Oryzias latipes: one gene and its partner. The protein of the gene in region 1 interacts with the protein of each later gene in a pairwise test. Links are inferred from orthologs where the notes say so. Each region holds a gene or a part of one and is shown in the gene's direction. Other genes may lie near its edges.

The links. The genes of interacting proteins can lie anywhere in the genome.
Region 2: the proteins of aqp1 (region 1) and regulator of G-protein signaling 17 interact in binary tests that used the Homo sapiens proteins (3 or more experiments, as listed by UniProt). The two-hybrid records come from large-scale screens. The link is inferred for Oryzias latipes from reciprocal best matches to the Homo sapiens genes AQP1 and RGS17.

What each region holds. Positions count from the first base shown.
Region 1 is NC_019875.2:28,339,607-28,343,531, forward strand, and holds aqp1 (aquaporin-1), read left to right. Parts: upstream 1-1,494; 5' UTR 1,495-1,556; coding exon 1,557-1,919; intron 1,920-2,286; coding exon 2,287-2,448; intron 2,449-2,582; coding exon 2,583-2,663; intron 2,664-2,843; coding exon 2,844-3,023; 3' UTR 3,024-3,419; downstream 3,420-3,925. UniProt on the Homo sapiens protein: Forms a water channel that facilitates the transport of water across cell membranes, playing a crucial role in water homeostasis in various tissues.
Region 2 is NC_019865.2:27,368,500-27,372,787, reverse strand, and holds the start of regulator of G-protein signaling 17, read left to right. Parts: upstream 1-1,483; 5' UTR 1,484-1,731; coding exon 1,732-1,788; intron 1,789-4,288. UniProt on the Homo sapiens protein: Regulates G protein-coupled receptor signaling cascades, including signaling via muscarinic acetylcholine receptor CHRM2 and dopamine receptor DRD2.

The sequences.
Region 1 (3,925 bases):
AGTTCCACTTTGCTTATGACTTATGAATTATTGAAAGAAATGATGAATTTCTCTCTCAGACATTAATCACTACAGTTCAACAGCATGAGTCACTATTCTGAAAGACATCTGGATGCAACTTGTTATCTCGCAGTTCTGTCACGGCAACCATGCATAGCGTAGCGCTGCGGCGTGTCGCACAAGTCAGAAGAGTTAATAATTAAAGGATAATAAGTTTGACAGAACACTTTCCATTGTCTGATTTTGATGCTGTATTGAAACTTTAAAAATTAACAGATTCAGATGACTTCATAAAACAAAATGACAAGAACTGAAAGTTTGGATGAAGATAAAAGTGTTTGGCAGCAAAAATTTAAGGAGTTGAATACGAAAGAACAATAATAAGGAATATTTACACTTGAAATTGTACAAAACCTACTTTTATTTTACAAATTTGTTTTATTTTGCTGCTAAATTTGACTGATTGATTCTTGGTATTTACTTTTCCTTTTTAGTTCTGAAATTGTACTTACTACATATACAAATACCTGTGTTTCTGCATTGTTACTTGTAAAAAAAAAAAGCAATAAATCTAAATCTATTCTAAATCTAATCTAAATATGATGGTTATCATATATGAAAACTAATGCAAAAGTCCAGTGACAGGGTCATTTCTAAGAATATGTCATTTGAAAAGGATTTTTTCTATCAGATAAGCAGTGAAAGGGCGGACTGCCTTTTGTTGGAGTCCCTCTTTAAGTGGGGGGGGGCTCCAGAACAGGCAGTGCCGTTCATGGAGTTGATCATTCACTTTCTTGCTCAACAATACAACTAGTAATTGTGCAAAAACGTCAATCAAGTTAATAAATCACAGTTGCTCTATTAGAAATGGAAAAGTTCTACTTATGCAATTCTGATTAAAATATCATTTAGGACCTTTAACTTCAGTTTCTTCATTCAGTTACTTTTTTGTGCCTAAAATATCTTAATTGTATTACTTCATGTTGCTCAAAATTGGAGTAGAAGCCAGGGGGAATGTGGAGCAAAGGGCTGTTTGGAGCTGTCTCCTGCCTTCCTGTATGTTGTCAGTGATCCACGCTCACATTCGTAAGGCGCAAAATTGCACAAAATTGTCATTTAAGGCAAATTTCAGCTAAAAAACGCTTCCCTCTGCTCCTGGAAAGTTCTGACTGGGAGCTCTCTCTCAGTGGGGAGTTTCATTTAGAAACGCCGGTACGAAAGGACATTTTATCTTTGGGTACAGCTATTTAAAGACTCTGTTTTGCTATTCACAAAAGTCCAAAGACCGGAGAGAGTGCTGCACAGGGAGGTGCTGGGAGAAAGCTGGAGGACGGAGAGGGGAGAAGGGAGGGTGAGGAAGCAGAGGGAGGGATGGGAGAGACCGGCCTTTTGGGTTTCTCATTAGTTCAGCGTGGTTCTCCCTTTCAGTTTTTTTTTTTTTTTCTTTAAACGCCCGCCCACCAACCATTATCAGCACCGGCCTTATATATGCAGCCTGATGCTGTTGTTTACGATTACACACACTTTGCAGCTCAAACCGTCACACAGCCACCACCATGAGGGAGTTCAAGAGCAAAGATTTTTGGAGGGCCGTTCTAGCCGAACTGGTCGGCATGGCCTTCTTTATTTTTCTCAGCATCTCTGCAGCCATTGGAAACTCCAACAACGCCAACCCAGACCAGGAGGTGAAGGTGTCGCTGACCTTTGGATTAGCCATCGCCACTCTGGCCCAGAGCTTAGGCCACATCAGTGGAGCCCACCTGAATCCCGCCGTCACCCTTGGCATGCTTGCCAGCTGCCAGATCAGCGTCTTCAAGGCAGTCATGTACATAGTGGCTCAGATGCTGGGTTCAGCCCTCGCCAGCGGCATCGTTTACGGGACGCGTCCTTCCAACACCAGCGCCCTAGGGCTCAACTCTGTGAGTAAAACTTTTTATATCCCCTTTTCTTGACAGCAGAATTTGTTTACCTAAATAGGATGCACGACAGCATGGAGAGGTCGCCATCCTTTAAACGCACACCTGTCCACGTTGCATTTTAAGGACAGTGCATTTAAATGCAACGTGGAGAGGTGTGCAGGTAAAGGACGGCCCCTATAGACAGAACCACCGTTTTTTGTTTGGCAAAAAAAATCTATTAAAAACTTGTAGCTTCAGTGATTTTATGACTCTACTACTGCAATAATATGATAGCATCAAGATGTCAGCATAAAGCCAGTGAAGGGAAACTTTCCATTCTTTCCATTCCAATGTCTGAATTTTGTCCCCCCCCCCTAAAAACCCACAGCTTAACGGTGTCACCCCCAGCCAAGGAGTGGGCATTGAGCTTCTGGCCACCTTCCAGCTGGTGCTGTGTGTCATTGCAGTCACTGATAAAAGGAGGCGTGACGTCATGGGCTCTGCACCCCTGGCCATTGGCCTCTCAGTTTGCCTGGGACATTTGGCAGCTGTAAGTTACACCATCCCCAAAAATGTTTGTTCAAGATTGACCCCAGTGGATTTTAGTGTGGTCCACCAGGTGAATAAACCGCCTTTCATTGCTCCAGAATGACTTCATGTCTTTTTTTTTTTTTGTGATCATAGATCAGCTACACAGGCTGTGGCATCAATCCCGCCCGCTCCTTTGGCCCAGCTTTGATCCTGAACGATTTTACGGACCACTGGGTAAGTTGGAGGGAGAATGAGCCCCAGCAGACCTCAGACAGCTGAATGTGGGCTATTTAGCAAACCCAAGTAACTCACTACACACATAAGTTAATCAGTGTTTGTGGCATTTCTGTGACACAGTAAGGACTTGAACGTTACAAAGTCAGTGCAAAAGCTGATATGAGTTATCTGTCCTAGGTGTACTGGGTGGGCCCGATGTGTGGTGGTGTAGCGGCGGCTCTGGTGTACGATTTCCTGCTGTCCCCCAAGTTTGATGACTTCCCTGATCGCATGAAGGTCCTAGTCAGCGGTCCAGTGGGAGACTACGATGTAAATGGAGGAAACGAGTCTGCGACTGTGGAGATGTCTTCAAAGTAGCTGCAGTTGTTTTTTCCCCCCACGTCCTTGTAAATGTCTATACTAAAAAAAAAATCAATATGTACAAATTTAAAATTCAAAAGCTTTGAAATTTAGTGCAGAGTTTTAACGTTGTTTTGAAAAAAACCAAGGAGGATTGTCGTCTACGGGTCAGCTAGAGAGGCTGTCTAAAGTCACTCCTTTTATCAACGCAGCACAAGCTCTTTATCAAACCGCTGCTGAAGTTTGAAACCCCGGGCGGGACGTTTGCTGATCCTTTTTCTCCATATCAGTATTGTATGTTGAAGCCTATTTTGTATATTACCTGTTTCACTTATTCTTATTCCTGATGGATATTATATTGTGTGCACTCTTTTGTCTAAAGTTTTTTACGTAAAATAAAACACAATGTGAGAATTTGTTGTTGTCGTTTCATTTATTATTCAAATTTTCTTTAATGTTTTTTGTAATACTATGAATTCATCCCAAACACAAAAACTGCATGACATAACATGCAAAAAGTTACCAACAACCTGATAGAGTTCCTAGAAACACACAACTCTCAGCTGTAAGTTTATGATCTGTCAGATTAGATTATGCACGAGTGATTATGAAAATAAAACACAGCCAAAGAAATGATCCGCCTTACTCACGACTGCCCTTACGGACGGATACGGGCCTGCACAAAATTTGAGTGAACCTGTAGAGTGAAATAAAAAATGTTAATGAACATTCTTTTAGAGAACACTTATGCAACACGTAAGGGTGAAATAGGTGGGAAGCAGGTGAACGCTAAGGACTGCACAGGGAACCTTGTTGGTGCAATAGATAAGTGCGTGCTCCTTGCTCCTTGTCTAATCAGGAAATTAGACAGATTGTAGTTCATGTGGACATCTTACAGGGGTCCCACGGGCACGTATTTA
Region 2 (4,288 bases), on another chromosome or scaffold:
TTGTTCATGTTTTGGTCTTAGAAGGTGGTCTGGTTTAGGAAGTCTCATAATTCAATGTGTTGCTCAATTTTACCCCACCAAACCATGAATATAGCTTAGACAGGGCAAACGTATTTGATAAGCAAGACTTCATACTCACAACAGCAGGGATTTGTGCAGCTCCCCAGGACTCCTGTGACAGATCAAAGGTTAACCTCTGATAACAGCTGGAGGCGGAGACTAAAGCTTGGTCTGTCATGCCAGTCAGGCAGGAGCATCAAAATAGGCATTACCCCCGATGATTAAGCTGGGTATGCAGTAGAAGATGAGCTGTGGATCATTGAAATGCAACTCCCTCAAAGATGTTGGAGGATCAATGAATACAAGTTCACAGTGATCTAAAGATAGTGTCTGTCAGCAGACATGAGTGGACTTCATAGTTCATCGAAAAATGAACTTTGCTGATGGCTTTGACTTGTACACATACTGAAGAATTATTCAGTCAGTTTAATTTGAGAGATTACATTTTTAGTAGCGTTTCAAAATGTCCTTACCTCCATGGGTGCGATATTTTATAGGAGTACAACCAAATCAAATTAGCATTGTGAAAAGGGATATTTATCAACAAAATTAAATGTAGATTGATATTTAATCTAATGATGAAATTGCGTCAATGTCTTTATAAACCAGAAATACTCTCACACGGTTCTTTATTTCTTTCTTCTTGGTGTTTGGCGCCCCCTTCTGTGCATATTCATTGATTCACCTACACAATATTTAAAATAAAATAATAAAAAAACAATTTAAAAAAGGTCAGAAATGTATGTCTGTTTTAATTATTCTTTTTGCATTCATTTTTATTTGGTTATTATTTTCCTGAGTCATAGTTGTGCCCATTAACATCAGTGGAAATGTTTTTCCATCCTAGTAATTTAATTTAATTAAAATGATTTTTAAAGAAGCCACATAGACTTTAACTTGATTGATTTTATAAAAAAAAATTATTATTTTTACTTGTCTCCTTTACTTTAAGTTCTATATGACATATAGTTCCATTTCAAATACAATCACACTTTGAAACTGCACTTTCATCTGGCAAATAGAAAAGAATTATAATTTGAAGTTGTAATTAATAGTGATTTAATTCTAATTTTAATATATATTAGCTTTGAACATCTTAAAAAAGAGAAACTAGTGCAACAAACACCATTTTATATTGAACTTTTTGTCATTGTCGTTTGTAACGTGAAATTAGTTATTAATCATCTGTATTTCTTAATAATAAGCTACATTTTTAAAGTTGCTAGGTTTGAGTAAATGTTTAAAAATATTAAGAATGTAATTAGGATTTTTACTATGAATCATAATTCAAATCAGTTGCAGTTTGTAATAGGCTAATGATGAAAACCTGTGTCTGACATTGTTGTGTGTTAAAAGTTACAACTCTATATGCATGAATGAACGTGGAGCTCCGCGCATGCGCCCTGCTGACTGTGTCCGCGAGGGCAGCGAGCTCGCTTCCTCTCTCCCCGCCGTTTTTAGCTGTCTCTCTGCCACACTCTCTATGGGAAAAACCCAAGCAGGGGGGAGATCAGCAGAAGGGGGAGGAGGAGTACTCCTTCCGACACAGCGGCGGAGGTAGGCTACTCCGAAAACATATATTAAAATATTTATCGGGAGGGGGGGAAAGAAAAAACAAAACAAAACAACGCACCGGTGCGGAGCGGCATTGGACCGACAATCTCCACACGGATGTGCCTCCGAAAGCGCAGCGGATACCGCCCTCCGGACCCCATTAATGCGAAGATTGTGAGTATCCGCCGGGCTGCAGGGCAGGCGGGGAGGGGAGGGGAGGGCTCGCTGCTTTCGGCTTCGTGCCGGGGGCTCCCGTCAGCGGAGCGGAGGGGCTTTTCTCCGCTCCGCGGCGCGGAGGGAAAGGTCGCTCCTCGCTTCCCCCTCCCTTTTCCTTCCCTCTCCTCGTTCCCTTCCCCATCCGTTCCGTGCTTCCCGTCCTCACCTACCGCCTGCTTCCTTCACGCCGGCCAGGAAACAAGCGGCGAGGCTCGCTGGTGAAGAAGGAGGCACTGACGGCCTTTGGCTTTGCCGCCGTCTGTCTCTTACCACACTCAGCTGCTTAAGTTAAGAGGAAAAAGGAACAACTGGGGAAGTTTTCTCACCATGTGCAGCTTTATCCTGTCTTTTCTGAGCAGCCATGCTTAGTTAATTAGTTTTAGAGAAAACTGCTGCTTATATTTATGGGAACAGCAAAGTTTTTAGGTACATTTTTAAAGATGATTGTTGAACATGCATTGATGGCAGCTTCATTTTTAATCAAAACAATGAATTTGTCTGAAAGGACGGAGGAAAAAAGTCTTTTTTTGGGTGGAGTCAGATAAACAGCCCAGTTTTAAACATGATCCTGGGTTTTCCACTGATGCTGAACTCATTTAAAACTTAGTGTAGGATCAGGGTTGTCTGTCACTTTAGTGCCTCCAGTGAAGCAGCAATGCAAACAGACCAAACCAATGACGATAGTTTGGTTCATTTGGGCTTTTTTTTTATTGAAGTTTGACTGGCGATCTGTCCGGGGCGAACCCCGCCTTCACCCAACTCTAGATAGGATAGGCTCCAGCAGCGGCGCCCCACACACAGGTTTAACGTCAGACAATATATTTTACTAGGTGGACGTGGGCCTCCACTTTTTTTGGTTTCTTCCAGTTTTCCTTAACGTTTGAGGGTAAAGTTTAGCTTCATCCTCTGTAAAATATCTGCAGCTGCTTTAAACTTTCTTTGTACGCTACATTTATTTTAGGAACAATGGGATTTAGATTTTCCCTCAACTCCTAGCTGTCAAAGTAGAACTAAACACTTTTAAGTTGTAAACCCCCCCCCCCAAAAAAAAGGCTGGTCACCAAATCTGGTATTTTAAAAAATATACATATAAACAAATCTACCGTTTGATCCACTTTATTAGCAGCGTTTCTCCAAACTTTAGACAGCCGGTTGCTGAATATTATGCATTATCATTATGGTGTGTGATAGCAACTGTTGCCATAAATCCATATTTGGAGTATTTGTATTTGTCTGTTGAATGATGCAGCTTTTTTAAAGGTCAAAATCCCTTTTTCTGTGAAAAAGGCATTTGTTTCCTTAACTTTTCTAGCTTGGAGGTTTCAGTTTAGCAGTCGGTGCAGTCCCTTTAAGAAAGTAGCAGAGGTATTTTCCACACGTGACCGAGCGACTTGACATGCGTCAAGAGTGAGTCAGATTTGGTGGAAAGCATTGGCTAGTTTTCCAAAGTAAAACTTCAGAACCAGATTATATTTTATAGTTTATTATTCCCATTGCTTTGACTGAATGAAGGTCTTTACAGACATCCTACCTTTCTGCTAAGAAGATGGATAGAACATCTGCAGTGCAGTCCTAAATCTGAAGACGTAGCGCTGGTTGATAATCTGCAGGACTAGTCTTGTCATGCAAGAGTTTGTCGTATGCGACCAAGACATTAACCAGGACGTCTCATAATTCACATGAGGCTCACTGCAGACCTTCTAGTTGTCAAGCTCTCAGGGCATTGTGTGACAATGACACCAAAATATAAGACAGACGTTTTTTTTTTTTTGCAGCTTCTCAACGATATCTCTCCAAAAAATTGTCAGACCATTCCGTGGTTTTTTTGAAGAAGTGTTGTGCAAGTGTTTATAGTTCCTCACTGCTCATTTTTCATACATGCCCAGTGCCAGTAGAACAGTCTCTTCTGGCTTGGGAAATCGCTACTCTGCCCCTCAGCTCATCTCAACAGTTGAATCACACTCATAAAGACTTTTGTTCAACTTGAGTTATGCATCAGAAATGAGTTGTGAAACTTAATTTTGTGGGCTGTTAGACAAAAAAATAATGTCAGCAATTTTTATTTTTTTTTGCTGTGTGCCATAAGTAATTGTTAATGGCTGACGAAGTATGCCTTATCACTTTTTAGCGCACGCCGTGGAAGCCTGAACCCTTCAACAAGAAGCGGAGGGCATTTCATACTTCGAAGGCCATTAACCCGCTTTATACCATGGTCACTTACAAAAGAAATAAATACTAACCAGTTTTTAATTTCTCCGATTTGGATAGCTTTTTTCACCGAAAGCGGACTATTTGTTCTGTGGTGCGGCGCCTTGTCATGGTAACCACCGATTGCAATCAAGATTCAGCGATACAAAGTGATATATATATATATATATATATATATATGAAAAAAAAAACGCCCCTCTCACCCTCCGCGGGTGGTTTCTCCTCCAAGCTCGGGTCCTCTACCAGAGGC